Linked DNA regions of Drosophila melanogaster. The protein of the gene in region 2 interacts with the protein of the main gene of each other region in a pairwise test. Each region holds a gene or a part of one and is shown on either strand. Other genes may lie near its edges. The genes, in order: Uba2, Septin1 and sip2.

The links.
Region 1: the proteins of Septin1 (region 2) and Uba2 interact in a two-hybrid assay, tested with the Drosophila melanogaster proteins (one study listed by BioGRID).
Region 3: the proteins of Septin1 (region 2) and sip2 interact in a two-hybrid assay, tested with the Drosophila melanogaster proteins (one study listed by BioGRID).

What each region holds. Positions count from the first base shown.
Region 1 is NT_037436.4:8,122,812-8,132,785, forward strand, and holds Uba2 (Ubiquitin-like activating enzyme 2), read right to left. Parts: upstream 5,008-9,974; 5' UTR 4,894-5,007; coding exon 4,750-4,893; intron 4,696-4,749; coding exon 4,541-4,695; intron 4,488-4,540; coding exon 4,200-4,487; intron 4,144-4,199; coding exon 2,628-4,143; 3' UTR 2,516-2,627; downstream 1-2,515. Other genes in the region: ldbr (lariat debranching enzyme), read left to right, coding at 1-767; CG7550 (uncharacterized protein), read right to left, coding at 926-1,648; mRpL36 (mitochondrial ribosomal protein L36), read right to left, coding at 1,841-2,227; Cds (CDP-diacylglycerol synthase), read left to right, coding at 5,448-5,558, 6,273-6,397, 6,641-6,737, 6,803-6,979, 7,041-7,529, 7,614-7,745, 7,810-8,022; Setx (senataxin), read right to left, coding at 8,986-9,123, 9,186-9,974.
Region 2 is NC_004354.4:21,353,563-21,364,751, forward strand, and holds Septin1 (septin 1), read left to right. Parts: upstream 1-4,723; 5' UTR 4,724-4,813; coding exon 4,814-4,831; intron 4,832-5,949; coding exon 5,950-6,142; intron 6,143-6,208; coding exon 6,209-6,467; intron 6,468-6,593; coding exon 6,594-6,959; intron 6,960-7,026; coding exon 7,027-7,276; 3' UTR 7,277-8,126; downstream 8,127-11,189. Other genes in the region: sol (small optic lobes), read left to right, coding at 1-103, 532-851, 918-2,506, 2,579-3,085, 3,145-3,411, 3,483-3,625, 3,695-3,872; waw (waclaw), read left to right, coding at 9,497-10,039, 10,098-11,189. UniProt on the Drosophila melanogaster protein: Involved in cytokinesis. May be involved in p53-dependent apoptosis.
Region 3 is NT_033779.5:6,956,140-6,966,255, reverse strand, and holds sip2 (septin interacting protein 2), read left to right. Parts: upstream 1-2,181; 5' UTR 2,182-2,317; intron 2,318-2,400; 5' UTR 2,401-2,438; coding exon 2,439-2,512; intron 2,513-2,579; exon of another isoform or gene 2,580-2,600; coding exon of another isoform or gene 2,601-2,623; exon of another isoform or gene 2,624-2,701; coding exon 2,702-4,361; intron 4,362-4,425; coding exon 4,426-4,665; 3' UTR 4,666-4,740; downstream 4,741-10,116. Other genes in the region: Coprox (coproporphyrinogen oxidase), read right to left, coding at 565-1,737; Hmgcl (3-Hydroxymethyl-3-methylglutaryl-CoA lyase), read right to left, coding at 4,783-5,709, 5,769-5,813; Atac1 (Ada2a-containing complex component 1), read left to right, coding at 6,003-7,073; CG3430 (uncharacterized protein), read right to left, coding at 7,217-7,600, 7,667-7,910, 7,969-9,158; CG13775 (uncharacterized protein), read left to right, coding at 9,384-9,638, 10,037-10,116.

The DNA.
Region 1 (9,974 bases), on a different chromosome or scaffold from region 2:
TGACCAAGTTTCTGGCTCTCGACAAATGCCTGCCACGTCGTGCTTTCCTGCAAGTGGTAGAGGTACCCAGTGACCCCATCGAAGGCACTCCCCGCCTGGAATACGACGCAGAGTGGCTAGCCATCTTGCACAGTACAAATCACTTGATTTCAGTGAAGGAGAATTATTATTACCTGCCCGGAAAAAAGGCGGGAGAGTTTACAGAGCGATCAAACTTTACCCCCACTGAAGAAGAACTAGAAGCAGTGACCGCAAAGTTTCAGAAACTTCAAGTCCCCGAGAACTTTGAGCGCACAGTGCCAGCTTTCGATCCCGCGGAGCAGTCTGATTATAAGCACATGTTTGTGGATCAACCCAAGGTTCAACTAAACCCCCAGAGCAATACGTTCTGTGCCACTCTGGGTATAGACGATCCGCTGTGCTTAGTTTTGTTGGCGAATGGCCTAGATCTGCCTGCGGTGGGAGCTACCGAATGCAAGGATAGGGAAACAAAAAGTTCTAAGCTGCAGGCGGTGGAAGAAGACGTGGCTGAACCATTGGTTACGCCAACTAAAAGGAAACTTAACTTATCCCTGCCAGCACCTACAACTGCAGCAGCTGATACCACCGATGAAAACGTGATAGACCTGCCCGAGGAGGAAGCTGAAGAAGCAATTATAGCAACGGAAACGCCTCATGTAGAGGAACCTGCATCAGTGCCCGCTAGTCCCAATGTGAAAAAACTTAAGCGACGCAATCAGAACATTTACCAAGCGCAAGAAGATTAAACCCAAACAAATTCCGTGAAAGCGGAGCGATTTATACAAAAAAAGGAGGCAATTTTATTTAAATAACACAGAAGATACTTGGCTGATACGATCAGCCAACGGTTGATTATGGGCAAATAAATAGGAGGGTGTTAGCTGCTGGGAAGCGAGATAACGACTCACTGTGTCCCGCTGGCATTATCGGCATAGACCTCGTCGGCGCACTGAAAAGCGGCCTGCATCACCGATTCGGGCGTGTCCACAACATCGCAATAGTATGTATCCGGTGATGGGATGCAGTGCAGCTGCACCTGGCTGCCCTCTGCCGTGGCGCGATAGAAGCGACACTGTCGCGGTCCATATGTTGGCATATCCGCATCGTATGGCGGACTAAGAATGTCGAAGAAAGCGGCTACGCCGCTACCAATTTGGGCAATCTGGTGGTAATTTCTCTTTCTAGGAGTCAATGTGGCACACGGACTAGCCGGCGTGACCAATTTGGGTTCCTCGACATTCACCTTCACCACTGTTTGATGGGGGTCATAGGTGAGCGGCTCATCCGGGCCTAACTGGTGCGAAAAGCTGTCCACCATTAGCTGACCCCAGATGCAGCGCAGCAGACCGAACATCATGGGGTGATCGTGCAAGGGAATAGTGCTCGCTCCGCGCACTATAAACAGGCTCATGGAGAAGCGATCATCCTCGAATATATGCATGTAGCTGCAGGGTGCCCGATGGCTTCCCACGTTGCGAAAGAGCTCCTCGCGGAGGTGCAGATCCCGGTAGGTCAGCTCATCCGTCAATTGACGCAGATGCTGCAAATTCGCATTGAAGCTGGCGTGATTTGCCCGGTCGAACGTTTTGAATGCCTGCCGCAGTACATTGCTGAAGTGCGTCGTCATCTTTTTCGGCCAGGTGTACTGAACTCCGGTCGGATACAGTAAAAAGCAAAACAGGCAAGAAACGACTGCGATATAAACAAACAATCAGCTGATACAGTGTTAGGAAACGTATCACGGACTACTTGGATTATTTTTCTTTTATTTATTTATGAACATATTTAAAGAAATGCTTTTATTAATGCCTAATTAGGTCTAATAGCCGCGCTCCTTGGATTGGGTGGCGTGCGTCAGGATCCACGACTTGTAGTCGCGCTTCTTCATCGACATCTGCTTGTGGCGTGGATGCGTGGGGCAGATGACATAACCGCGCTCCTGGCGCACCACGATGTAGCAGTCCTTGCAGCGTCGCTTCAGGCGTCCCTTGACCTTGAATCCCGCCACCTGCTGGACCAAAGTGGAGCCAGGCGTCAGCAGACCCGACGTCTGACAGATTCCAGTTGTGGCGGCCACAAGTTGCGAGCTTTGAATTGATACAATTGCAGGAGCCGCCGGCCGGGTGAGAAGGTGGAAACCACGCGCGGCACTGAGACCATTCCACAAGCGGGAACCTTGTTGCAGTATTCTACTAGCCAGGGACATCTGAAATTTGCATTTTCATTGAGATTTACAATGAAAATTTGTAGAACAGCTCACCTTTTTCTGTTTTGGATTGAACTGGTCAGAAACCGATAACAGGCACAATGACTTCCAGTGCTTCGCAGCACTGGTTGGCGTTAAAAAGTTATCGAATTAAAAATTTGACTAATTTTAAATGTTATTTTATATTTCTTTTATTTAATAAAATTACATTTCTCGCACTGGATTATTTGAATTTAATCGAGTAGAGCAAAACCAAACCCGTTCAAAGCACAAAAATTTAAAAATTTTATCATCCACAAAAATGTGTTTTTATTTTAAATCAGAATGAAATTACAGGGAATCAAGAGCATAATTTAGTGCGCAGTTGAGAACTTATTCGAATAAAAACTTCTTTTTTTTATTAATCGATACTGATGACTGCCACGGGGTTCGAATCGTCCAGGCGGGAACGTTTGCACTTGGTTGGTCCCGCGGGTTCGTCGTCAGACGACTCCAAAATCTCGGTGATATCCTCATCCTCGATTACTTCACATGGCTTGCGCTTGGAGCCCGATTTTGGGGGACTCTGCACAGAGAGCTTGTCTGTGGCCACGACAACAACATCTGCTTGGTCTTCGTCTTCCTCGATTACCAGACAGTCATCGTCATCTTCCTCAACCACTTCGTTGGGCCGGCTGCGCTTCGAAGTGGAGGGTCCATCGTCCTTTGAGTCTCCTTCCCCGTTGGTAGAACGCTTCTTAGCCGATTTCGGTTCATCCTCCTTGTCTTTCACGGCCTCCTTCTGATCCTCATCCTTTGGCTTCAGCTGTGAGGCATCTGCTACGACTTCGAACAAGTTTTCATCGCGCTCCGCATCGAAGTGGGAAATGATAATACTCAACTCGTAGTTCTGGAAGAAGTCGTCGCACTTGAGGATCACACCATCCACAATGTTTAATTCGCTTAGGAGCTTGCCGTCATTGCATTCGGTCTCGCCCTCCTCTGAGGAGATTAAAATGGAGCCATTGCTCTGCACAGTCACATCCGGATTCAACATGTTGAGCGTCTTAACCAGGACCTCGTCACGCAGCTCCTTTATACGCATGCGCTTCGTATCGATCTTGAGAGTAATGGCCGGATCGCTGGCGCATACATGGCAATTGGGATTGGGGCCAGGAAGAGAAGCGTCCGGTACAAGGAAGTGATTTCGTGCATTTGGTCTAAGTCGGGCATAGACGGCCTTGCACTGCTCCCACTTGGCCTCCAGCACTTTGAAAGCCCGCATCACGGAAATTCCCGCCGTAATCGCATTTGTGGTGGCAATAGCAGGAATAATGTTTCCCGCCATTGACTTAATCTCGAACCTTGACTTTCGCTCAATGTCGAAAATGTGGGATCGCACGTTGGCGCAGGCCGCCACGAAATCCATGGCTGGCTGGTCGTCCTTGTCCCAAGCCAGAGTATCGTCGCCTTCGAGTTTCAGGAAGTTAGCGCTCAACTCTTTTAATGAATTGGCAAAGACCTGAGCGCACTCCTCGATGGACCACACCTTGTGATGCTGCTTGGCCACATCCTTCTGATCACCGGAGGATCCTTCGGGCAGCAGGGTATCCCACTGCACGGGCACGGGTGCCTTGCGGGTCTTCCACAAATTCGACATACGCAACAAATAGGTAATGTCCTCGTTAAAGAACTTGTTGAACAGCTTGCCCGCATCATAGTTGCAGTCCTTGGCCCATTGGCGAGTATTAATGCGCATTATGTTGCCGTTGGCAGTATCCTCCTTGGCCTCCTTTTCCTCTTTTGACTCTTCGCCTTTTTCCTTCCCATCGCCTTTGGGCTCGCCATTTCCATCGCCGCCGTCTTTTTCTTTTGCATCGGGATCAGCAGCATCAGGAGAAATATCCTCATCTTCCAAGGACTCACCAAACAGTTGACTGCAAATAAATCAATAGATTTGCTGCAATTTAGACTAATTATTAGGTATACTCACTTAAAGAGATGCTTGGCCCAGACAATGCAGTGAATCGGTTCGGAGGGCGTATTGCGTATGGTGCAGCCCGGGAAGCTTCGCTGTTTGTCTTTTGGAGTGCACTCGTAGCACTGGGTGAGTCCACGCTTGATCAGTTCCACCTGGCCATTGTAGCCGGCGGTGCCGCTCTCGATCAGCGGGACATCCGCATTGAGGCACATGCGATTTACATGATTCCTGGCGGCCCTGTTGTCCAAGGCGCTGAGCACCAAATCGAACTTCTTAAAGAAGTTGACGCCATAATCAGTACTAAAAGGTATGTGTTGTTAGCAAGATGTAAAGGCAAAGCTATCCCAACTTACGATGTTACACTGTCGTGGTAAGCGGTTATCTTAGCGTCCGGATTGAAGCTCAGTGCGCTTTCCCTAGCCACCCGTGCCTTAGATTTTCCAACGTGCTCGCGATGGAATAGGAACTGTCGGTTCAAGTTGCTAAGATCAATTGTGTCCAGATCGATCTGGGTAACGTTTATAAATTAATAATATGGAATACTTTTTTCGAAAAAACTTACAATTTCGATGTCTGTAAAGCCGCTAAGCACAAGGTTTTTGAGCACCTCGCAGCCGATTCCGCCGGCGCCCACGACCAGCACCTTGGACTTCTTTACCAGCTCCTGCAATGTGGGTGGGAAAACACCATTGATAGCTGCTGCCATTTTCTGAATTTACGTTTTCCTTTTTCTTATTTTTGGCGAGAAAATTGCAAAATTGCGATACGGAAAAGCCGAGAAAAGTGACGCCGCCGGTGCAGGTGTTGGGAAACGTATAAAGCTACGGATATTCTCTACCAGGGATGGCTGATATGGGTGACTCTTATTATCACTTAAATTAACTTTTCTAGTATTATTAATATATTTTATTTTACATATTACGACAAAAGTCACCGTTAATTGCACAGAAAAAGAAAGTTCTTTTAAAAGACATCAAACATTTTCTGTCCGAAAAGTCAACTTGTAAAACCTAACAGCAATTGAGCATACTTGCCAACACTTTTGCTCCACCAGCCCACTTTGCGCAAGCTGGGCACACTGCATGCTGGGCTAATCAGAAATAGAGAAAAGCATTTTAATTCGGACGAAGTCGACATACGGATCACGCAGCACGGGTCACGGCAAACGGCAAACGCGGAGAGCGGAACACGGACGAGAACTGCTCAAGCGGAATCAATAGGAATCAATACATTGTGAATAGATCTGGCGAACATCGAATAATGGCCGAAGTGCGACGCAGGAAGGGCGAGGATGAGCCACTGGAGGACACGGCCATCTCCGGATCTGACGCAGCCAATAAGCGCAACTCCGCCGCCGACTCCTCGGACCATGTAAGTAGCAATGACTTGTATGTGGAGCAGCCGAGCGGCAGCTGTTCCGGACACCAATTTGCATAATTCTTGGAGCATAGAAAAGCCAATGTGTGTATACCAACAAATGTGTGTGGCTATGTGTTTTTGTTATTCTCTGACGCACAAGCAGGTGGGAGAAAGAAGAGAGAGCTCTCTCCTGGAGAAAATCCAATAACAAACACAAAACACACCACTAGCCAGCCAGCCTGCCTGCCACCCAACCACCCACCTGCTGTGTTGCAATATAGCGCCATTATGACCAGCAAATCCAATTAGATGGACTACGCCAATTAGGGAAGCACTGGGCCAAGAACCCAGAGCCGAAACCATTACCATGACCAGACTCCCTTTCTGGCTTGGACTTTTTTTGTTATTGCTGGGTGATAATGCCTCCTTATCAACCAAGCTATTTGGCAACAAAACACGCCACCCAAAAAAACCCGCAATTTTTCTCCCCACTTGGTTCCCCTCTCTATTTTATGTGCCTGTGTATTGGATAAACGAGTGATTCTGATTATGGGTATATAGGCACATACATACACGTATCATGGACTTTGCTCGGCGTCGTCCAATAGAAAGTATTTAAACCCTGCACTCCGGTCGTATCGAATCTGATAGGAAACCTACTTTGCAGTCCCAGCCAATGCAATCAATAAGTGAATTTTCCCTTTCCCTTGCTCCTCCTCCTGCCAGGTGGACTCCGAGGAAGAGAAGATTCCCGAGGAGAAGTTCGTCGACGAACTGGCCAAGAATCTGCCGCAGGGAACCGACAAAACGCCCGAGATATTGGACTCGGCCCTCAAGGATCTGCCGGATAGGTATGTGAAACAAATCCATATGCGTAGTTGGGATCTTTAAAGATCATGATGAATAGCTAAAGGTCGATTTGGAATTGATGATTCAAAAAATATTTTATTGAAGTGCGAATTTTATAAATCCGACAGAATGAGTATGAGTGCGTTCCAAAAATAATCCATATCCACAGCTGTCTACAGTTGGCGAGCAAATATTAAAAGTAAATATGTACAATTACAAACAATTATTTTTTGCGCATTCCACAGATGGAAGAACTGGGTGATTCGCGGCATCTTCACATGGATTATGATCTGCGGCTTCGCATTGATCATCTATGGTGGACCGCTGGCCTTGATGATCACGGTAGGTTTAATGGAATTCGCTTAAACGAGTCTTCAAATAATCGTTGTCCTACTTTCTCTTTGCAGACGTTACTGGTGCAGGTGAAGTGCTTCCAGGAGATCATCTCGATTGGCTACCAGGTTTATCGAATTCATGGCTTGCCCTGGTTCCGAAGCCTTTCCTGGTATTTCCTGCTTACCTCAAATTACTTCTTTTACGGAGAGAATCTGGTAGACTACTTTGGCGTTGTAATTAATCGGGTGGTCAGTAAATAATACAATAACCTGATTATATCGCCTGGTAAATATGCAATTTCATCTACAGGAATATCTGAAGTTCCTGGTGACCTATCACCGGTTCCTTTCCTTCGCCCTGTACATCATCGGGTTCGTTTGGTTCGTGCTCTCACTGGTGAAGAAGTATTACATCAAACAATTCAGCCTGTTTGCCTGGACCCATGTATCCCTGCTGATTGTCGTCACCCAGAGTTACCTCATCATACAGAATATATTTGAGGGGCTCATTTGGTTCATCGTACCTGTTTCGATGATAGTGTGCAATGATGTCATGGCGTACGTGTTCGGTTTCTTCTTTGGGCGCACTCCCCTCATCAAGCTCAGCCCCAAGAAGACCTGGGAGGGCTTCATCGGGGGTGGCTTCGCCACCGTCCTCTTTGGCATTCTGTTCTCGTATGTGCTGTGCAACTACCAGTACTTTATCTGTCCCATCCAGTACTCGGAGGAACAGGGACGCATGACAATGTCCTGTGTGCCAAGCTATTTGTTCACGCCCCAGGAATACAGCCTTAAATTGGTAAGTGATAATGTATTTCTATGGAGTTATGGGTTACCGATTTGTTGTGCTGATAGCTACAGTAATAATTTTTTTCATTTCCAGTTTGGCATTGGCAAGACTCTAAATCTTTACCCCTTTATCTGGCACTCGATCTCCCTGAGCCTGTTTAGTTCCATTATTGGACCCTTTGGTGGCTTCTTTGCCTCTGGATTTAAGAGAGCTTTCAAAATTAAGGTAAGTAATCTTTTCGGAACACAGGTCTTTTCAATGTAACGCAACACACCATCTTGTTTTGCAGGACTTTGGCGACATGATACCCGGACATGGCGGCATTATGGATCGTTTCGATTGTCAGTTTCTTATGGCGACCTTCGTTAACGTTTATATATCCAGCTTCATCAGAACTCCGTCGCCGGCTAAGCTGCTGACACAGATTTACAACCTTAAGCCAGATCAACAATACCAAATTTATCAGTCCCTCAAGGACAACTTGGGCGACATGTTAACCTAAACTTGATCGGTTACCAGTAAGATTCGGACAAGACGTTTGCTGAGTCGTACGTTCTATATGTAATGCAGAAATTTCTATATATATACATTGATATATATCTGTAAGCAAACGGGCCGGCAGTTTGAGCAGCCACATAAAATAAGTTAATTACGGGCATAATTTTTGTTATGTTATTAGTCCTTAGTTAGATTTTGTTGCTACATTTTAGTTAAATTCTTAAGTTAGTTTTTATTTTATCTTGCATTAAGTTATTGCGATTGTTTTATTTGGCAGAACTCTACACAGTGCAATCGTATTGTTAAGCGATTCCATTAATTTTAATGCCCTCGTGACAAGGCGTCAAGGCAAGGCAAACAGAATAACTATGAATTTAATATCGACTATGTGTGTGTGCGTGTTGTTAGTGAATTTAATTACGATAACTATAGCTTAGAGATGATCAGGCAGACAACGCCAGAATCTGGAGATTAGCATAATTAAAGCGCATTTTAGTTAAATACCTGAGGGACGAAATTATGAGATCAAGATACCAGGAAAACTCTTGCAATGCTGTAATTCTATATATAATAGTGCAATATGCAGACGTTAAATAATTGATTTAACCATTTCAATATTTATTTATTTACTTTTATTCGGTCATACACTACGCCATGCATAGTGCAACATCCTCAACCCGTGAATCTTTCTCAAAAAGTACATAGATGATATATAATCGGTTACTTATAAATCCTGTTATACTGTACGGCATTTAAGAACGAAAATGCAATTCGTCGGCGTTTTAAAGAACTAAATGTACAAAGATTTCAATATTAAATCTTACAGTCTCTATGTTAAATATATATAAAAATAACAAAGCCTTTTTTTAAACAATGTGGGAAGCGCTTCTCTTCCATGGCACTTGTGATATCTTAGCATCTAAAAGGTAGTTTTAATCTCATTAACTAATAGGGAACGTTGTGTCCCCTAAATTAAGTTGATAGTATTCACCATCATCTTTTTGATTAAGGAACGGTCTAGGTCGTTCACATCATCGCGGTCCAAATTGAAGTAAACTTTCCTCTTGCGAGCATCATCGAGAAGGTTGCGCCACATTTCAACAGACTACAAAATTAAGAAAAGTTCATAAAAAACATGTTTTATTTCAATTAAATCTGGATACTGACTTTTAGATCTTCAAAATTGCCACATATGACTAGACAACGACGCGGTCTGGTCAGCGCCACATTAAGTCGCTGATAGTTCGTTAGAAAGCCACAGCCGCGTGTCCTGGCATTTGAAATTATTATCACATCCTTTTCCAATCCTTGATACGAGTCCACAGTCTGAGGAGTTATATTCATGTGACTGGGAATAACCTGGCTTAGCGCGTAACACTGGTTTTGGTACGGCGAAATTAATCCATAGCTAAATCGCTTGCTGGGCATATGTTTGTCCATTTCTGTCAGAAGTTTGGCCACAAAACGAGCCTCCTCGTTATTGCTGATACTCTTGTTTTGGGCGCCATTGCTGTCGCAAGTGTATTTTAAATTAATAACGCAGTATGGAATGAGCGGTGAGGCGAAACGAGCAGTACACTCGGCGTTTATCAACTGATCCTCGTAGAAATACTGGTTTGGCCATCGACAGATCTCTGGATGCATGCGGTACTGCGTGCTCAGCTTAAATAGTTTCGTATGCATTAAGTGATAACTTCCCGGCTTATCAAGCTGTGTCTGCAGGCTTCGCTGAATGCGATCAAACATTGAATTAGAAAGGCCAAAGTCTATGGCCTTCTTGGACAGCACCACAGCCGGAAGTTGCTGCATGTCGCCAACCAAGACCATATGCGTTAATCCAAATCGCATTGGCAGTAAAGTCCAGGGCTCGGTACATTGTGTGGCCTCGTCGACGATGCATATGTCAAAGAAATCTACATAGTTTGCCAGTTTTACACAAGAGGAAAGCGTTGTGCA
Region 2 (11,189 bases):
CCGATGGCAGCGGCGAGGCCAGCGAATCCGAGTCGCAGGTGGAGGAGCACTCCATCTACGCCAAAGTGTGGAAGGGACCGCGCAAGGCGACCGAGTCGAAAATGTAATTGGCAGCTAGCGTGCGACCGAGATTAGTCCACACCCATCCAACTTCCTATCCCCCGCAGAAGCTTATCAGTTGGCTACGTTTTTATTTTTGCTGATAATTTGCGTGGCGCTTAGTCACTGCGGCCTTCTGTTTGTATTTCGCCCGTCCACCAGCTTTTATTTTTATTCTGCCCGCTATAAGTTCAGTTGTATTATTTAAGCAAATTGTTTATGGGCATGATTTAAATTAATGATTGGCTTGCCACAAGATTGTCACAACTTGGTTGAGGTAATTAATTCATTCGCAATCGTGCTGATCTCGGCTATGACAATCTGTGGTTCAAGTGTTCAATTTAATTACATTTTGATTTCGCCTATCTCCCGTGTTGAATCAATTTTGAACTTGACTGCATTACAATTGATGGTCTTGCTTTCGATTTGCAGTATGCATGATCCAGGGAGCAGCAGCCGCCTATCAGGAGCCGCATCCGCAGCAGCAGGGACCGCGTCAGCTGGAGCTATAGCTGCAGCCGTAGGAGCAGCTGCTGCCTCGCGGCACGACAATAAGACACAGCTTGGCAACGGCAGCCGCAGTAAGATGTGGATATGCATCAAATGTTCCTATGCCTACAACCGACTCTGGCTCCAGACTTGCGAGATGTGCGAGGCCAAAGCCGAACAGCAGCAACAGCAGTTGCAGCTGCAACAGCAGCAGCAGCAGCAGCAGCAGCACCACCACCACCACTTGCAGCAGCAACAGGCAGGTGTGTCATCAGTTTTCAGGAAATAATGTAATGCTTGTGCTATATCAAATACCTAATGCATTCCAGAAGCACCCCGCGACGAGCCATGGACCTGCAAGAAGTGCACCCTGGTTAACTACTCGACAGCAATGGCCTGCGTGGTGTGCGGCGGCTCCAAGCTGAAAAGCATCTCTTCCATCGAGGACATGACGTTGCGAAAGGGCGAGTTCTGGACCTGCAGCCACTGTACGCTCAAGAACTCGCTGCACTCGCCGGTCTGCAGTGCCTGCAAGTCCCACCGCCAGCCGCAGCTCTCGATGGCCATGGAGGCGGTACGGGAGCGACCGGATGGTCAGTCGTACGAGGAGCAGGATGCTGCAGCCGTCGGGGGCGGAGGAGGCAGTGCCCACCAATCGGGCGCCAATGAGGTCAAGGCGCCTACAGCCTTGAACCTACCGCTAACTTCGGTGGCGTTGCCCATGCCCATGCTGCAGCTTCCAACGTCAACAGCGGCTGGTCTGCGCGGCTCACGCAGTCCCTCGCCCAGGATGCAGCTGCTGCCATCACTCCAGCAGCAGAGGAACTCCAGCTCATCGGGCGCTATACCTAAACGTCACAGCACCGGCGGCTCCATTGTGCCACGGAACATTTCCATCGCTGGTCTGGCCAATTACAATTTGCAGCAGGGCCAGGGAGTCGGCTCCGCATCGGTAGTGTCTGCTTCTGGAGCTGGATCTGGAGCTGGAGCTGTCGGAGCCAGTACCAGCACAAAGAAGTGGCAGTGTCCCGCGTGCACGTACGATAACTGTGCCGCTTCCGTCGTTTGTGACATCTGCTCGAGTCCGCGCGGCCTGGCGAGCGCAGTTTTGGGCGAGGCGTTGGGCAGAAAGTCCGTTCGAGTTGCCCTCACACCGGCAGATATTCGGCAGGAGAGCAAGCTGATGGAGAACCTTCGCCAGCTGGAGGAGACCGAAGCGTTGACCAAGTGGCAAAACATCATACAGTACTGTCGCGACAATAGCGAGCTTTTCGTGGACGATTCGTTTCCGCCGGCGCCGAAGAGTCTGTACTACAATCCGGCGAGCGGAGCAGGCGAGGGAAATCCTGTGGTGCAGTGGCGACGGCCGCACGAGATTAACTGCGACGGCGGAGCGTATCCACCGTGGGCTGTGTTCCGCACCCCGCTGCCCTCGGACATCTGCCAGGGCGTCTTGGGCAACTGCTGGCTACTCAGTGCGCTGGCGGTGCTGGCGGAGCGCGAAGATCTGGTCAAGGAGGTGCTGGTCACGAAGGAGATATGTGGCCAGGGCGCATACCAGGTGCGCCTCTGCAAAGACGGCAAGTGGACGACGGTGCTGGTGGATGATCTGCTGCCATGCGACAAGCGTGGCCATCTGGTTTATTCGCAGGCCAAGCGCAAGCAGCTATGGGTGCCGCTGATCGAGAAGGCTGTGGCCAAGATCCACGGCTGCTACGAGGCGCTGGTCTCGGGCCGGGCGATCGAGGGACTGGCCACGCTGACAGGAGCGCCTTGCGAGAGCATTCCACTACAGGCCAGTAGCTTGCCCATGCCCAGCGAGGACGAACTGGACAAGGACCTGATATGGGCCCAGCTGCTGAGCTCTCGATGCGTACGATTCCTCATGGGCGCCAGCTGTGGCGGTGGCAACATGAAGGTGGGTTCTGCGTTATTACAAAGTCTTCTTCTATTTCATATGCTTATGCTCAATTATCAACATCAACCAAAGGTGGACGAGGAGGAGTACCAGCAGAAGGGGCTGCGCCCGCGACACGCCTACTCGGTGCTGGACGTGAAGGACATCCAGGGACATCGCCTGCTCAAGCTACGCAATCCGTGGGGTCACTATTCGTGGCGTGGCGATTGGTCGGATGACTCCTCGCTGTGGACGGACGATCTTCGGGATGCTCTGATGCCGCACGGCGCCAGCGAGGGCGTCTTCTGGATCTCGTTCGAGGATGTGCTTAACTACTTCGACTGCATCGATATCTGCAAGGTGCGCTCCGGCTGGAACGAGGTGCGTCTGCAGGGGACATTGCAGCCCCTGTGCTCCATCTCCTGTGTGCTGCTCACCGTGCTGGAGCCGACGGAGGCGGAGTTTACCCTATTCCAGGAGGGGCAGCGCAACTCGGAGAAGTCGCAGCGATCGCAGCTGGACCTGTGCGTTGTGATATTCCGCACCCGGTCTCCGGCGGCGCCGGAAATCGGTCGATTAGTGGAGCACAGCAAGCGTCAGGTGGGTGCTTCCCATAGCCCTGCAAATAGAAACGCTTCTAACAATTGCGTTCCATTTAGGTGCGAGGCTTTGTGGGATGCCACAAGATGCTGGAGCGGGACATTTACCTGCTTGTGTGTCTGGCCTTCAACCATTGGCACACGGGCATCGAGGATCCCCACCAGTATCCTCAATGCATCCTAGCGATACACAGCTCCAAGCGTCTGCTGGTGGAGCAGATAAGTCCCTCGCCGCATCTCCTGGCCGACGCTATCATTAGCCTGACCCTAACCAAGGGACAGCGGCACGAGGGGCGCGAGGGGATGACCGCCTACTATCTGACCAAGGCAAGTGATCCGGTTGCGAAGGGATCTAGGGATTCGGTGGCCTTACTAACTCGACCGCATTTCCTTTACAGGGCTGGGCGGGTCTGGTTGTGATGGTGGAAAATAGACATGAGAATAAGTGGATCCATGTGAAATGTGATTGCCAGGAGAGCTACAATGTGGTGTCGACACGCGGCGAACTCAAGACAGTGGACTCTGTGCCCCCGCTGCAGAGGTGGGCTCCCAATCGACCACCTAAAATATTCCCCCAACTAATTGCTTAACGTGTGCTTAACGCTTTCAGACAAGTAATCATCGTTCTCACCCAACTAGAGGGCAGTGGCGGCTTCAGCATCGCCCACCGGCTGACCCATCGTCTGGCGAATTCCCGCGGCCTGCACGACTGGGGGCCACCCGGCGCCACCCACTGCCCGCCCATCGAGAATGTCCATGGACTGCACGCTCCGCGGCTAATCACCTAGAATGGGATAGGGATAGGGATGGATGGCAGTGACGCAATTTCGATGCTACCCCGCGATATGTCGCTGTTCGAATCCTGATTTGCATGCGTCTCCTCTCAATTCTACCCGTCTTCTAGTCGATGTTCTGTTAACGAATCACACATTACAGCGAAAAACCCAAAGTTGAAACCAATCAGCATGCGAAACAATTCATATATATGTGTATAGAGCCGTGCAGATATGATATATGTATGTGTTTATGCACTAAGGCGTATCGGAAAGTGGGAGCAGATCCCCGGTGGGGATACGGCAGAGCCCAGAAGCCCCAGTCCGGAGTCCTAAGGCTAAGGCTCGGCACGATTCGCTTGAGATCCAATGATCTGTGTTTTGATTAGAGCGGCTATGATTGTGGATTATATAGATATGTATTGTGAATTTAAGTGCATCCAATATTAATATGTGTATTGTTTTAAAAATAAAGACTACAAGTTATAAAAGCCACCAATGTGTAAACAATTTCAAATGTGTACGCGCGAATTGGAAAACGATTCAATCAAAATATACCTTACGATACACAATAGATGGCGCCAGGAGATATTCGACATGGTATCTACATAAGATGTTATCTACTGTCAAAAACGCTACGAACTAAATCGTAAATATAGTCCGGGCTTAAATTTCCGATTAATAAAGTGAAATCATAAAAATATAGTCATGATATAATATAAACCATATAAAACCATAATAATTAAATAACTTATTAAATATGGTTACGTTCAACCAGATTTTCAAAAGAAATACCAGCTTGATCTTGTTCAGACGGTCGTCATTTTTGTTTTGCCGCCGAACTGGTCCCACTGGCAGCAGGATTTGCCAGTTGCGCGCTGCGGTCACACTAGTTGCCCTGCTATTTTGTTCGTCATTACGTTGATTTCTTCGTTCGTTTCGTGTTTTTTTTTAAAATGGCCGATACAAAGGGCGTGAGTAGCCGCTGTTCACTTGTCCAAATGCTAATGGCCAACGGCCAGTCCCCCAACGAACTCGATCCGCCGCCAACTGGGCGTGGCGTGCCATCCACTCCTGGTTGCCAGTGCATCAAATGCCGAATGCGGCGCTCCTGTTGATTTGTTTGCCGCTCATCTCGCCGCGCCAGTTCATCGGACACTCCTCCTGCACCGCCCTTTGTCCACTCGGTGGGAGCGGGCATTGCTGAGCGGGAGTGGAGAAGGAAGTGGAAGTAGAAGTCAAGTGATTCACAACATGCCGGTGGCGTCGGCGTTGTTCCTTTGTTCCCGGGACCTCTGCCGCCCTCGCGAAGCAACTTCGGCCGCCCGTGACCCACATGGCAGTGCATTCTGGTGCACGGAGAAATGAGTGCCGTGCCCATAGTTTGGGCGCCCAAGAGAAAACTGATCCGCGCGTGATGGGCATGCAAATCAAGCCAAGCCATCGCTTTCTAAGACCCAAAACCCTAACTACCAGACATTAGCTCAACCCAACTGAGTTGGGTTACGAGTTAATAAGGCATATGGAATACTTTCAATCACTTGTCCATTTTGGGTCATATCCTTGAACCCATTTCTTAACTCAACTCAACTTTCTCTTCATGAGATGCAAGTTTTTACTATTCCCAAAAGTGTTTTACCGAGAAACATAGTTCCAATTAATTGGTAGATAAATTGATCGACCGCAGATATATGTACAATATTACTATGATTTATCGTCAGTCTGCATTGCATGGTTTTATAGCTTAATCAGCATAGGCTGACCCACTTAATTATTCGCATATGTATTCATATGTATAGAACACAATGCACGGCACATTTAGTTAATATGCAATTCGTTAAGATTATAATTTCCATATGCAAAAAAGTCCACATTTGTTTCGCCTTTAAACGTTCCAGAAATAGTGCTGATATTGAACTGAGTAATTCTTGGTTTTGCAAGCAATGTTTGATTGTTTACCTGTTCTGAAATTAAAGGCATTACCTATCTAGTAGATTCTCAGAAAGTTTCTAATATTAATTATTTTTATTTATATATGAAGCCTAGGACTTTTGGTTCTCTATACTAATGTTATTCACCTATTCTCGTGCAGTTTTCCAGCATCGAGACGCCCGGCTATGTGGGCTTCGCCAACCTGCCCAACCAGGTGCATCGAAAGTCCGTGAAAAAGGGATTCGAGTTCACCCTAATGGTGGTGGGCGAGTCCGGACTGGGCAAGTCCACGCTGGTCAATAGTCTCTTTCTCACCGATCTCTATCCCGAGCGCATTATTCCGGACGCCATAGGTGGGCATAGTCTTTCGTCATCACTCGCTTTGATTACTCATCCAGGAAACCATTCCCCTCTTGCAGAGAAACAAAAGCAAACCGTAAAGCTGGAGGCATCGACGGTGGAGATCGAGGAGCGCGGCGTCAAGCTAAGATTGACGGTGGTGGACACACCCGGATTCGGCGATGCCATCGACAACTCCAACAGCTTTGGTGCCATACTCGAGTACATCGATGAGCAATACGAGCGCTTCCTGCGCGACGAGAGCGGCCTGAACAGACGCAACATTGTGGACAATCGCATTCACTGCTGTTTCTACTTTATATCGCCGTTCGGTCATGGGTGCGTTCCTTTTCCGTTTAACTTTTGAACATTTAATATTAAAAATAAGGAGTTCAAAGCTCAGTAGTGTTGCAAATTGTATAATAGAAAGTATAAACGAAGTATCACATCAATTTTTGTACCCAGCCTAAAACCCCTGGACGTAGAGTTCATGAAGAAGCTGCACTCTAAAGTTAACATTGTGCCCGTGATCGCAAAGGCCGATTGTCTCACAAAGAAGGAGATCCTGCGCCTGAAGTGCCGCATTATGCAGGAGATCGAGAGCCACGGCATCAAGATCTACCCACTGCCAGACTGTGATTCCGATGAGGACGAGGACTACAAGGAGCAGGTGAAGCAACTTAAGGAAGCTGTGCCTTTCGCCGTCTGCGGCGCCAACACACTGCTCGAGGTCAAGGGCAAGAAGGTGCGCGGTCGTCTGTATCCATGGGGCGTGGTCGAGGTAGAGAATCCCGATCACTGCGACTTCATCAAGCTGCGCACGATGCTCATGTAAGTGAAGCAAATATTCCAATATCTGATTGCTTATTAACTAACCACCTATCCCGCTGCCCCACAGCACCCACATGCAGGACCTGCAGGAGGTCACGCAGGAGGTGCACTACGAAAACTACCGCTCCGACCGCCTCGCCAAGGGCATCAAGGGCAAGGAGAACGGCGTGAAGGCCGAGCGGGACAGCAGCTCGCAGGTGGTGTCGAACAGCGTGCTCGGCGAGAAGGACCGCATCCTGCAAGAGAAGGAGGCCGAGCTGCGGCGCATGCAGGAGATGCTCGCCCAGATGCAGGCGCGCATGCAGGCCCAGCAGTGAGCAGGCGGGTATATCTTTTATATACGCGCTTGGCGGAGGCGGCAATCTCTAGTTATACACAAGTCGTATATATACACATATACAAAACATATATTTTGTACGCAGATTTTGGTTGCGATCGCGCTTTAATTCTACTCTCAATTGTGAAACGACGGGCGCTAAGTATTCTGTATTAATTTCGCATTCTCCATATATATATATCCGTAGTATCTAGATATACACACCACATACATTTATACACACATCTAACTTACACCTGCCGCGTATGCAAATGCCTGCAATGCAATTGCTTCATCAGAAAAACAAAGAACATAAGGAACACCAACCATCAGCGAACTCATATCACTTCTATCAAGCGAAACCACACACGAAAACAATTGTATTCCTATTATGTATTTAGACGCGATTAACAATGAATTATTATTGTAATACGCATCTAGGCTAAGCGAATCCAATCCGATTTATATTGTATGTTAATTCATTTTTGTCTGTTTACCTTACCCTTATCTGTGTTGTCTCAAAGCGAGCAATTTATTTAGGTTATACTATATGTTGCGTGTCAGCCTGCCCTTCCGATCCTTCTTGACCTCCATGGTCCGCTGTCCTGCAGTGCCGCCCGATTCCTAAGCACGATCTGATTGAATAAACAGTGATCCCTTCCTAGGCGGTCCCGGGAACCCATGGCCAGTTGCGGAAACTCGGTTTAGCAGGCTACTCGCTTAAAAGTGCACTCCTTTAACGGATGAAACAAAAACCAAAATGTGAAATCTCTTTTATTATGTATATGAAGACTTTTTTAACTCAATATAATCCTCTATGAATATATAAATATGCTTTTTATACAATTTGTAAGCCAGACCGTCTTATGCATTTTCTTGTAGTCTCCCATTTACTCAAAGTGTAAGGGGGCATACTATTTGTATTCTTGAGGAGATCACTAGCCGACTCCATCCAGTTACATATGTATGTACATATATGTACGTCTGTCCGTATGAGCGTCAATATCTCGGAAACTTTAACAAGCCGAATGTTCCAACTGCCAAGCCCATTTGTTTGTTTGATAAGTTTACTTTTGTTGTATTTCAATAACAATAGTTAGGCATTCATATCCTTTAGATACATTTGCAGTTGTGTTCGCCTGATGCCTGGCAAAATCTTAACCTTTTAGACACTTTTCACAACTGCTTGTCTTGCTTTTTTAGAGCGAAACCAAAATGCTCATTCAACGTATGCATTCGAAAACACAAGCAAGCACAAGAGTAACATTGCGAGATTTCACTATCAGCTTTTCCAATCACATTGGCATTATTGTTAGTAGAACAAAAGTTTTACTTGTACATATTTGTCAAGCGTTCGTCGAAAGAGCTTAAGGATCCTCACAACCTCAAGTATCCCTAGTTCAACCCATACTTGAGTATTGTCCGTGTGTATGGTCTCCTCAACACGTCTAGCATCAAGGTCTTGTGGAATCGGTACAGGGACACAGCCAGGATAATCCCTACCATCCCATCAATCATTCTCATGAAAAGAAGACTTATTTTTTCGAGACGAAAACGATCTCTATGTTGGATACATATTTTAGACGGAAGCAGTATCGGGTTTCAGATTGTAGAAGATGATGTGTGGGTAAGGTTAAAAAACCAAGAAAGAGATCGAAAAATAAGAGCAAAGTCAGTTGCAATCTGAGAATGGTTCGATCTCGACCTGAGTATGCTGAGCATGATTCGATCTTGGCTAGATTTTGAGATCGAAGTTCTTAAATCGAGATCGTTGAGAACGGCTTTTTCTCTGACTGTGCTGAGGTCAAACCCCCTTTTTCTGGAACCAGCAGTTCCTCCAGCTCCCTTGCTGGTCTATTACAATTACCATTTACCATTGTAAGCTGTTCCAAGAAAAGAACCTCGGCTTCTAGAAATCGAATCTCGCAGCGATGACTTCCTCACGAAAGCAGTTGAAAAAACAGAATATTTATGATATATAGCTCAATATTTCGGACTTTCTTACTTGTTTATTTATGAATATAAACCTATAGGCAATCTGAGATCTAGGAGCATTACGATCTTTCGCTTAAGAATATGTTTAATTTGCATCCGAGAACAAATTAGTAAAGGATTATTGAGTTGTAAATATTTGTTCATGTGTAAACATCGGTTTTCGTAGATTGCCAACAGATGGCGCTGTTTGTCACAAGATGGACAGTATTTTCCTGCTGTCTTACACATGATTGTCGGCTACTCGGTATTTTTTCATCATACGGTCACACGGCGCACATGGTGTGCGGTAACAATTTTTTTTTGCCGGCAAAGAAATGTAAATTCAGCCATGATTCGTGCGATTTCAATCCGTTGGCTGCTGCAGCGCCCGGGGGACAAACGACACTCCGCCTGGCTGGTGGCCAGGTCAAAGAGCTTACTCGTCCGCAACCTGAGCACCACCAATCAGGTCAAGGGCGAAACGGAGGAGCCCTCGCAGGCGGATCTGTTGCGCGAGTTTGCCCACATGCCGGTGGAGCGCATTCGGAACTTCAGCATCATTGCGCATGTCGATCACGGCAAGAGCACGCTGGCTGACCGGTTGCTGGAGCTCACGGGAGCCATTGCGCGTAATGGCGGGCAGCACCAGGTACTGGACAACCTGCAGGTGGAGCGGGAGCGTGGGATCACGGTCAAGGCCCAGACCGCATCGATCTTCCACCGTCACAAGGGACAGCTCTATCTGCTGAACCTCATTGACACTCCTGGTCACGTGGATTTTTCCAATGAAGTGTGTTTCATGTCAAAAGTCTGCTAATTCTTCTGCTAATCATTTGCCCATTACCCAGGTTTCGCGATCTCTGGCTGCCTGCGACGGCGTGGTACTCCTGGTGGACGCATGCCATGGTGTCCAGGCTCAAACCGTGGCCAACTATCACTTAGCCAAGCAGCGTCAGTTGGCAGTGGTTCCCGTGCTCAACAAGATAGACATCAAGCATGCAAACCCTGATCAGGTTTGTCAGGATCTAAAGCTGCTGTTTGGCATAGATCCGGACGAGGTGCTGCGCGTGTCCGCCAAGCTGGGCACCGGCGTATCTGAAGTCTTAGAAAGGGTCATAGAAACTGTGCCGCCACCACAAGTTCAACGGGACAGCGACTTTCGGGCCCTAATCTTCGACAGCTGGTTCGACAAGTATCGCGGAGCCCTTAATCTAATTTATGTGCTGAATGGCAAGCTAGAGCAGAATCAGGATATTCAGTCGCTAGCCACCAAGAAGGTGTATTCCGTCAAGAGCATCTCTGTGTTGAGACCAGCCGAGTGTCCTGTTCCGGATGTATCCGCTGGTCAAGTGGGCTTGATTGCTTGCAATATGCGCAACAGCAAGGAATCCATTGTGGGCGATACCATTCACCTGAAGAACCAAGCAGTCGCCGCCGCAGGAAGCTATCGACCGCAACAGCCGCTTGTTTTTGCTGGAGTTTTTCCCGCCGACCAGTCAAAACATGTCGCCCTGCGCAGTGCCATCGACAAAATGGTACTCAATGACTCAGCGGTAACTGTAAAAATTGATTCCAGCCCAGCTTTGGGACAAGGTTGGCGTTTGGGCTTCCTGGGACTTCTGCACATGGAGGTCTTCTGTCAGCGCCTGGAGCAGGAGCATGGCGCTGAGCCCATAATCACCGCGCCTTCCGTCACATATCGTTTGGTCTTGAGTAATCCAAAGATGATCAAGCAACAGGGTCGCGATACAATGGACATTTCCAATGCAGCCCTCTTCCCGGAACCGCATTCCATCAAGGAGTACTATGAGCCCTTGGTTTTGGGCACAATCATCACGCCCACGGAGTATGTTGGCCAGGTGATCAGCCTGTGTGTGGAGCGTCGGGGATTGCAGCAAAGCTCGGTGAACATCGACGACACCCGTGTGCTAATGAAGTAC
Region 3 (10,116 bases), on a different chromosome or scaffold from region 2:
AAATTAAAAAGTAGATATGTACGTATGCATACATGAAGTCATGTCGACAGGTCCTGTTATATTAGACCGGCTGTATATGTATATGTATATGTGTTCATTTTTAATATTGGTATTGGGTAAAAATTTCCGAAATTTTTCTTATAGATTTTTTGCTGTCTCACCATGACTCAGCACCATACATATATACTTTATATTGTAAAACATTTATTTTCCAGGCCCTTTAATTATGTATTGAGAAGCAAAGTAATGAGTCAAAGTCGAAGTCTATTGAGTTTGTTCATACTTTGTTGCATTTCATAGATGAATTTCATAACTCGTAATAAAATTAAAATTCATTAACATTATGTATTTAATTTTACTTGTTGAGTCCAATTTATAGTATTATTTGCCAATGTATACTGTATGTTGAATGGAATAAACTAGTTTTTCAAATATGGATAAATAGTTAGGAAACAATAACATTTTGTCATGTTTATTTGCAACAACAATTACAATATGTACACATTAAGTTTTAAATATAATGCAAAAGGCACCGGTTCCCTCTTAAGAACAATTAAAAATAGCTTAGACCCAATCCTTGGGGTTCTTCAGGACCTTCATCAGTTTGCCCTCCTCGGACTGGGACTTGGGCTCGTGCATGTACTCCCAGCGGGCGTGCAGGGGCAGGGACATCAGGATGCTCTCGTACCGGGCTCCAGGCGTGTATAGACCGAACTTGGTGCCACGATCGTAGATCAAATTGAACTCCACGTAGCGCCCGCGGCGCAGCAATTGCCACTGTCGTTCGTTGTTGCCATACTCCCGATTTTTGTGCTTTCGTACCAGCGGCACGTAGGAGGGAATCACGGCCCTGGCGCAGCTTGACACAAAGTTGAAGGCCGCCTCCTGGTTGGGCGAATCGATGTCGTCGAAAAAGATTCCGCCAATGCCGCGGCTCTCGTTGCGATGCTTGATGCGGAAGTAGTCGTCGCACCACTTCTTAAAGCGCGGGTAGTAGGTGGGATCGTGCTCATCGCAGGCGGACTTCAGCGTCTGGTGGAAGTGGGAGGCGTCCTTCTCGCAGAGGTAATAGGGCGTCAGATCCGTGCCGCCACCAAACCACCACTGCTTCTCCCCCTTGGCAGTTTCCACTTCAAAATAACGATAGTTGAAGTGAATGGTGGGGACATGGGGATTCCTCGGATGGATCACGGCACTCACACCGCTGGCAAAGAACGGCAACGAGGCGCCCTCCTTCAGATTCTTGCCGCGAGCCCGCATCTGTTGTACTGCAGCCGGGGGCAACGAACCGGTGACCACGGATATATTGACGCCTGCCTTCTCGAACACATCGCCATCCTGCAGGACGCAAGTGATGCCGCCTCCGCCCTCAGGCCGCTCCCACCGGTCCACCTTGAACTTCTGGCCACAGTTCTCCTCCGCCTCCAGGGCGCGGCAAAACTCCGCCTGGATCTCCATGATCAGGATCTCCATGCGATGACGCATGTTCTCCTTGTCCCCCAGCAGTGCCTTGGAGTCGGTGATGGGCTCGGCCATGAACCGCGAGGTGTTCATCTGCACCCCGTTGACCTTTGGGTCGACAGCCTCCGCGGAATGTGCGTACGTGACCGCCGAAAAGCTGGCCAGGCCCAATCCCGTGCCGAGGAGAAAGCCTCTGGCGTGCGGCCCCCTGGTCCGGCGCACCAGTTGAAAGGTGCCCAGCGATACCAGGGATATCGTGTGACGGAGTGCGTTCATTATGTGCTCTCGCCTACTTCAAATTTTTAACTTAACTTAAGTACTTTCGCCGAACGCAGTTTGTTTGTTATCTTTCACTGACCCGGCATTTCTAGTTGCATAGTCGCCGGTGTGACCGTGATATCACCAAAATATACCGAAAATAGGGGGCTCGCGATTTTGTTCTATTTACAGAGATACAAGAAGTTGTAACGTTCTTATAAAAATATTATATATTGTTAAGAACACTAGCTAGCTCAATATGTCTGTATATATACACAAAATAATAATAATAAATAATATATGTTAAAAGTTACGGAGCAGTACAATTGCTTTTAATGGTAGACATATTTGTCTTAATTTTATATTATTATTTGTTATAAGTGATATAACTCCGATGATGTATATGTGTAGTGTCCATTGGAATACCCCATTCAAAAATATAAGCGCAATACGGGCACTCTGTCGTGGCATTTGAAATAAACGACTGCAAAGGCGCGTCGATCGTTGGCAAATGAGCGTGCTGTGAAGAAATCCATGAAATATTTGCGTGTGCGCCTTGAAGATTAAGGAAGATCTGCGTGAATACTATTGCCAGAAGGTAGGTGATCGACTGGAGCGAACTCTAAATCCTCTGAACTATAGTCAACGCGCAATTATACGTGTTTATCCCGTCGACTGGAGTTTTGCACCCAGGACACACGCACACTCGCACACTCACGATGTCTGGCCTCAAGAAATTCCAAAACACTGAGGAATGGCGTCAGAAACTCCGTCAGTTTCTAATGACCGAGCGGTAAATACACATTGAAACCCATCCTTGGATAGTGTTGCACTAGTGTTCGATGAATTTGTAGTCATTTACTTTCAAACAAGCCACCTGCATGTCAAAATTGTTAGAGAAACAGTACGCATAAATAGTTTGGACAGTTTAGACACACATACAATTTAGTTGAGAAAACTAATAACAGTTTTCCTTTTTCAGCTTGCCGAAAAAGCCCGTGAAAATGGACGAAACGAAGGATATGCGCTATAGTTTGGAGATCGACGAGGATTTGAGGAGACCCTTGGAGGCGCGGGCCAAGAAAGTTCTGGCCGTTAATTCTGCCAGTCAAAGGACTGTTAATCTCGGCGAGGATACTATGTACGAGGCAGGTGACTTGGAGCACTTGGACGATGGCGATGATAGCTTCAGTGCCTTTGAGCGCATGTGCGACAAAACCGGTTCCGATCCGGATAGCACTCTTTTCCAGTACCTGCACAGCGAGGACCGGAGTCAGGTGATGGCCAGGGCTAGGGATCATAGCACCGACGATCAGAAAGAGATCGATGCACTGCGTCGCATGCTAGAGGCAGTGGGTACAGAAGACGATCTATTGGAGAACGAAAGTCCCGTCAAGGGGGCGGAGTGCACTCACCTGGAGGACATTGAGGCGCCGTCGCGCTTTTGGGACAACACCCTGGCCGGAATGGACGAGACCTCATCCGACTCTGGGCTGACTCCTAAAGCATTGACCAAGGTTTCGCCTGTCAAAATGGTGGGGCTGCTTCGCCCCTCAACCATCATCGAAGACAGCGAACTGGAGTCGTCTGATGTGTCTTCACACACAAGCTTCCAAAGCGCTCGCACCCTAAAGACAAATGCATCTAGTTCTTACGAAACAGCCACGGATACTTCCCTCAGTGGAACGCTCCTAAACGTCGACGAATTGTTTTACGCCGCAATTGCCAAGGCCAAGCCACCAGGAATGTCCAAGGGAGAGGAGCTGGAGCTCTTAAGCGATCTTCATGGCAGTCTTAGAGAGCTGGCCTCACTTCCGAAGGATGAGGTCGAGGAGGAAGAGGACGATATAGAGGATACAATAATCGAGCTATCCTCTTCTGACGATGAAGAAGTGCAGCTAGTTCCAGAAGTAAAACAAGAAGACACGTCCCGTGTGTCCTCAGTCCACGGAAAAGATCACACTGAGCAGAAACCAGCGGAGAAGAGCGTTGAAAATAAGGAAAATTCGTTGCATTTCAATGATACCATGGAAGAAATGGAGTACATGATGCAAAAGGGTATGGAGTACATGGCAGGTGGGGCTCCTTCAGTCGCCGCAGTCAAGGCAGATTGCCCTGTGCTGCCCAAGACCAAACAAAGCACGTTCGTTGTTTCACCGAAGCCGGAACCAAAATCACCGGCTGTAGCCTTTTTGCAGCCATCAATTCCGCTGCGGTCATCTAATCAGCCACAAACAGTTGTAGGTTCATCTAGCACGGGTAGAAAGCCGCTCAATGTCGGCCTCACCATGGAGTGGACCAAAAAGAAATTTTTCAGTGCAGCCTCTGGTATTCCTCAGCGTCGCCAAAATCAGATAAAGCAGCCATACGCCAACATAGTCAGTCCCATACGCACCTACACCCAGAAGTCTGGTACTGCTCCGCTAATGAGTACATTCCGTCCAACGAGTTCTGATATGCTATCTACACTGGCCATCAGTGAGTTGGAGCAGGAGTCTCGCTTGTGTCATCCTAAAGCACTTTTCGCAACAAAGGACGAAACACCCAAGTCCAGTGAAGCGGAATCTTTAATTATCAATGGAATCGATTCAGCCGCTGATCTGCTTCCCAAAAAGGCTTACATATCTTCCGAAATCAAGCATGTAAGTTTAAATTTATATATAAGCCATGATGAGTGAACGTAAACTAATACCTTCCATTGAACAGGTGGTTGATGAACGAACTCCTTTGCCCATGCCGAAGGTACCTCAAATTCAAAAATACCTCAACTCCGCCGTGGAGCCTACTGTTATGCGCCACGATGGCAAAATGAAAATGCCCGGCGAGGCAGTCCGCAATCCGTCGTCTTCGCATATCCCACGACGCGCCAATCACAGCCTGGCTGATCTGTCGCTCGCCTCAGGCGACGTGTCCTTATACACAATAAGAGATGCCCAAAAGTTTTAAGGCCCATAAAAGTACTTCACGCTCCTTGACTAAATATTGCAACGATAATAAATGTATTGTGTAACTAGTGCTAGTAAATGCCTTCGTTTTCGTTTGATAGTATCAATGCTTGCATCATCACTTAACTCGCGCCTGCGGTCCCTTCCACGCTCGATTAACCTTGGACTCTGAGGTTCTGCCCAGTTCGGTGCAGATGTACCGCCCCACTTGGATCAGTTTGTCTAGGTTGACGCCAGTATCGAGGCCCATGCCGTGCAGTAAGTAGACCACATCCTCGGTGGCTGCGTTGCCTGACGCCCCCTTGGCGTAAGGACATCCGCCCAAGCCAGAAACGGAAGAGTCCACCACCCGAATGCCATAGTCCAGTGAGACCAGTATGTTGCTCAGAGCCTGACCATAAGTGTCGTGGCAGTGCACGGCCAGATCTTTAGCCGGGACGACCTTGGTCACCTCATCCAGCATTCGGCGCATTGTGCCTGGAGTGCCCACACCAATGGTGTCGCCCAATGAGATCTCATAGCAGCCCATTTGGTACAGGGCTTCCACCACTTTGACGACAGCACTCGGCGCAACAGCACCCTCGTACGGGCAGCCAACCACGGTGGAAACGTAGCCCCGGACGCGCACACCATGCTTTTGGGCTGCTTTCAGCACAGGTTTAAATCGTTCGATGGCCTCAGCTGCCGTGCAATTAACGTTCTTCAGCGAAAACGCATCAGATGCGGCTCCAAAGACTGCCACCTCCTCGGCTCCCGCCTCCAGAGCACTCTCGAATCCCTTCAGATTAGGCGTGAGGACTGGATAGCTTATACCAGTCACTTTGCGGATTCCTTTCAGCACTTCGGCATTGTCGCCCATCTGTGGCACCCATTTGGCGCTCACAAAGCTGGTGGCTTCTATGGTTCGCAGTCCTGTTTCGGACAATTGGTTGATCAGCTCGATCTTGGTGGCTGCCGGCAGGAGTTTGGGCTCGTTTTGAAGACCATCCCGCGGTCCAACCTCCACAATTCGCACCTGATTGGCCGCGCTTGTAACCGCCGTGCGCTGTTAGTTTTAAAATTATTAAAATATTGTCAAGTGCGTTCGATTTTCCGTGAAATTACCTTTGCTGTAAGTGCAAGGATAGAGCGAATTGGTGCACTTATCATTGCTAAATTTGTAAATAAACGTTACGTATTCCGCTTCTTCTTTTTTCGCTGATAACAGCTGATAATGATCCAAGATCGATATGTTGCTAAATTTCGATAACTGTTTTGCTTAATGAGCTGCCATCTCTAGCGCAGAGGCGTAAACACATTTTTTGTATACAAACGGGTATTTGGTGCTAATTCTTTGTAATGGAAATAGCAGAGATATCTGCAGAAGATGAGGATGTGTTTCACTTTGAGACCGAGCACCTGGCCCTGCGTGGCAACCAGTGCTATACCAATTTGCTGCGCACTTTGGCCGTGCTGCAGGCACAAAGGATTCGGGTGCATCAGCAGATTGAGGAATTGGAAGCCACACAAAATATCTACTTGGAGAATCCGCAACATATGCTGGACAAACTGCGAAACAACGAGCCTTTGATAGCGGATAATTACATCACCACGACCGTTCTACCGGACTTGCCAACTCTGTCGCCCAATGACGAGGAAGGGGGCACAAATGAGACACCGACCGATGCGTCTTCATGGACGCAAGAGGCGAACAAGAATCGGGACAGGAGCAATGGACGGTCGGAGAATTTCAATCGCTTGTGGACCAACGAAGAGCAGAGTCGCTTGGAGCAGCTGCTCATCCAGTATCCGCCAGAGGAAGTGGAAATGCGCAGATTCGGGAAGATAGCGAAGGCCTTGGGCAACAGAACGGCACAGCAAGTGTATAGTCGTGTCCAGAAGTATTTCCAAAAGCTGCACGATGCCGGAATGCCTGTGCCCGGTCGCATACCCAAGCATCGACGTCCTGGTTTGAGTAAGCCGAAGATCAAACTTCGCAAGTCAACCTTCTTCCCCGCTCATAATATATCGCTACAAATGCCAGAGGACGATTTCACATTTGACGACCTGCGAATCCCATCGCCTGCGAGCGATATGCTCCTTATGCCGGCATCCAAGATCGAACCAAAGATCGAATCCGAGTACATGGATGCCGATCTGAATGCGGAGTCAAAGCGAAAACAGGAACTATGCCTTAAGCTTCTATCAGCCATTCAGGACGAGAAACGGGAAATGGAGGACGGATATGAGCCAGACTTGCTGGCCGCCAAGTGTGCCGAGTGCGAAGAGGCATCTGTGACCAGGACCCAATGGCGTTGTAACAGTTGTTATTGTTACCTTAATCTGTGCGGAGATTGCCTGGCCAGTCAGCTAATCGAAGGGCGTTTCGAGCATTTAAGTCATGAAGTTGTAGTGGACCAAGAGTCATGACGCTCCTAGAGTCCCATTTACTTGAGTACTAAATTACTAGACTTGCCTGTAAAGCTACAAATTAAATATAAAGAGAATAATTTTAAAAAATTCTATTTTATTTATAAAAACTTAATATTAAATGGTATAAAAGAGAGGCCCTCTTAATTGCGCAATTGGGCAGATGATTTCGGCAGAGATTGAATACGCTGGCGACGCTTTGCTTCGAACTCCGTAGCCAGCTGCCATGTTTCTTTGTCCAACGTATCCTTCCCCCGGGCGATGCCCAGCAGCCGTGAGAGGACCAGCAATCCATGCAGATCATCGGCATTACTTTTGACATTAGCTTTACGCATGTCCACGAAATCCTGCTGGATCATTTCAGTGTGCTCCTCGCTCACGTTGAAGCCGCTAGTGCGCGCTGTGGTCAAGTACTTGCGAAACTGCTGCAGACGTGATGGCTGCAGATAGTGGTGGGCTGCCTTTAGAGATTCATCAACAAGTTCCACGGCCTTAGAATCGGCATTAATGGGCAGCACAAAATCGCTCTGAAAACATATCATTAATAGTTTCTATTGGATATAATGATTATTTATATAAACTTATATTCTTACCGGCAACATACTTCGCCCTTCACTGAGCACGAGAACTGGAATATTTGCTTGGTAGTCTATTTGGTAATACTGAAAGTCGCACTTCAGTTCCTGATTATTGATCAAGTGCGCTAAATGCTGAACGGCATGAACACCATTGGCCTCCAGCTTGCCCTGTTGCATGCACGTCTCGTCGAGCACCAAATGCGTATGGGGAGCCAACTGTAGTACGCCGGAAACCAGCTTGTTTGTCTCATAATCCTTCCTGCAAGTACTCATTAATAGGTATTCAATTTTATACTATTTCTGCTTAGCCAACTTACTTTGGGGCAAAGGCTGCCGTGTTTAGTGTGACGAGAGTCATGGGCATGTAATGGCTGGCCGGCAGTAGCAGCTCCAGAATTTGATACAACTTGGTTGCATACGCCTCACAATTCTTAGGGAGATTACAAAGGTTAAGGGCGAACTTGCCGATGCTCTGCATCTCAGAACGACTGTAGACCGTAGATATTAGGTGGGAGAGCAAATACTCGGCAGCCAGATCGTCATCAAAGAGGCAGAGTTTAAGAAGCATGCGCAGATCTTTGTGCACAGCAAGGTGGGTTGGATACGTCTCCTCACATATTTCCGTTGGCTGTCGAAGGCTTTTGTCCAGCAGCGGATTGGCATGCGGCAGCACCTGGACTCCGAAGGCATGCAGGCGGGGTATAAGAAATGGCGATGGATGAGCTGCCTGCAGTTCACTCAAGTTTTCACAATCGTCTATTTCCAGGGTAGCGGCGTCTAGTGAAGCATCCACTGACAGAAAGCCCACAAAGTCGACCAGCGAGTTAAGCTGGTAGGTATCGAACTCCTCGTAAACCTTTACCATGCATGCCATGCTGGGACGATCCGGCAGAGGCGAGTTAATCAGGTAATCAGACCCAAGAACAGAGGATTTGGAGGCGCCGACTGGCTCGCTATCTTTTTGAATCTCTTTTAGGCAGGGTCGCTTGAACGTTGTTTCGCTCGCAACGTCCACATCCATGGCTTCTTCTTCGCCTACAATAGTCCGCTTCTTGGCTGAACTGGGAGATTGACCCAGACTGGCCAAATCGATCTGGGGACAGCACAGCTTCTCATGCTCCTTGCTCCAATCGTTCAGACCAGGCACAGAGACCACGAACATGGTACGCCTCTCTCCATGCACGTTTCCATCGGCGTTGTAGTCAATCACTTCGCCATTGGCTATTTTCAAGCAGTCCCTGTACTTTCCTTCCTGTACACGTTTGCTGCCGTCGGCGGATTTCACTTCGTAGCGCTCCAGATAGATTTCTGGGTCCATCATGTCCTGGATCATTCCACGAAAGCGCACCAGAGTCTGATCCTTCAGCTTGTGAAGAGGCGTGTAGTTGAGCAGGGGAATCGAGTGCCAACGACTGGGATCCTTGAGCAAGTCCTTGAGTGCAGCGCTGTCCGCTTGCTGGGCGGCCAGTTCATCGGGCGTGCTGGGCAGCTCCATCGCACAGGGCATTATCTAGTTAACGAATGAATTTGCAAATGCCTCAAAAACCTCGAATGCAAAAAACAACAGCTGCTTTGGCGCGCCAAAAACTGATTGCAGCATATTAGTGATGGTCATCGATGGGCCTATCGATATCTGCCAGGGATGTCGAACTCTGCCGCAGAACGGATGTAGAGGCGGATGTGGACATCCGCAAAAAATGTACAATTTGAGAATTACCAAAGAATTGCAGCGATGAGCAAGAAGAAAAGCAATGTGTGGCAGTACTTCTACAAGACATCCGGCACAGTGGCCACCTGTCTGCTGTGCAACAGGAACTACTCGAGGCGAGGACGCGGCACAACATGTCTGCGGAATCATCTGAAGAGCAAGCACCCACCGGAGTTCCTATCTCTATCCGGGGACATAAAGTACCTGGACCTGGTTAAGAGCGAGATCTCCATCGGTTCGCCACAGCACCCCACAGCCCAGCTAGAATTGAATCTGCACGTAAGTGGGATAGCATATAGATGTGCATACATACCTATGTACATGCATATGTACTGTGCAAGAAGTGTACCTTATGTGAAATCGGGGTACATGCCCTTCTAGATATTCTGTCATGTGGAGATGGTTTCCCCAAACTTAAGTTTCCATTCAAATATAGTTTCTTTGGTAGTTCATAAAGTAATTTATGCCTTCTCTTATTTAAAACTTTTTACTAATATAGCAACAGCGGATGCGGATTTTTATCCGCGTTTGGCTAGATCGGCAAACATGTGTTGTGTTTATAAAGTGTAGTTAAGGAGGTTTTAAAAATGTACTGTTATGGTCTTAGTATTATATTTTTATAAATTATGCGTTTTTCACTAATCTGATGCATTAAATTATTCTATTAATCATTTTAGGAAACAGATTCAGATCCATTGGACACCGAGGATATATCCTACAGCAAACGCTGTGATGAGAAGTTGGCCCTCATGCTACT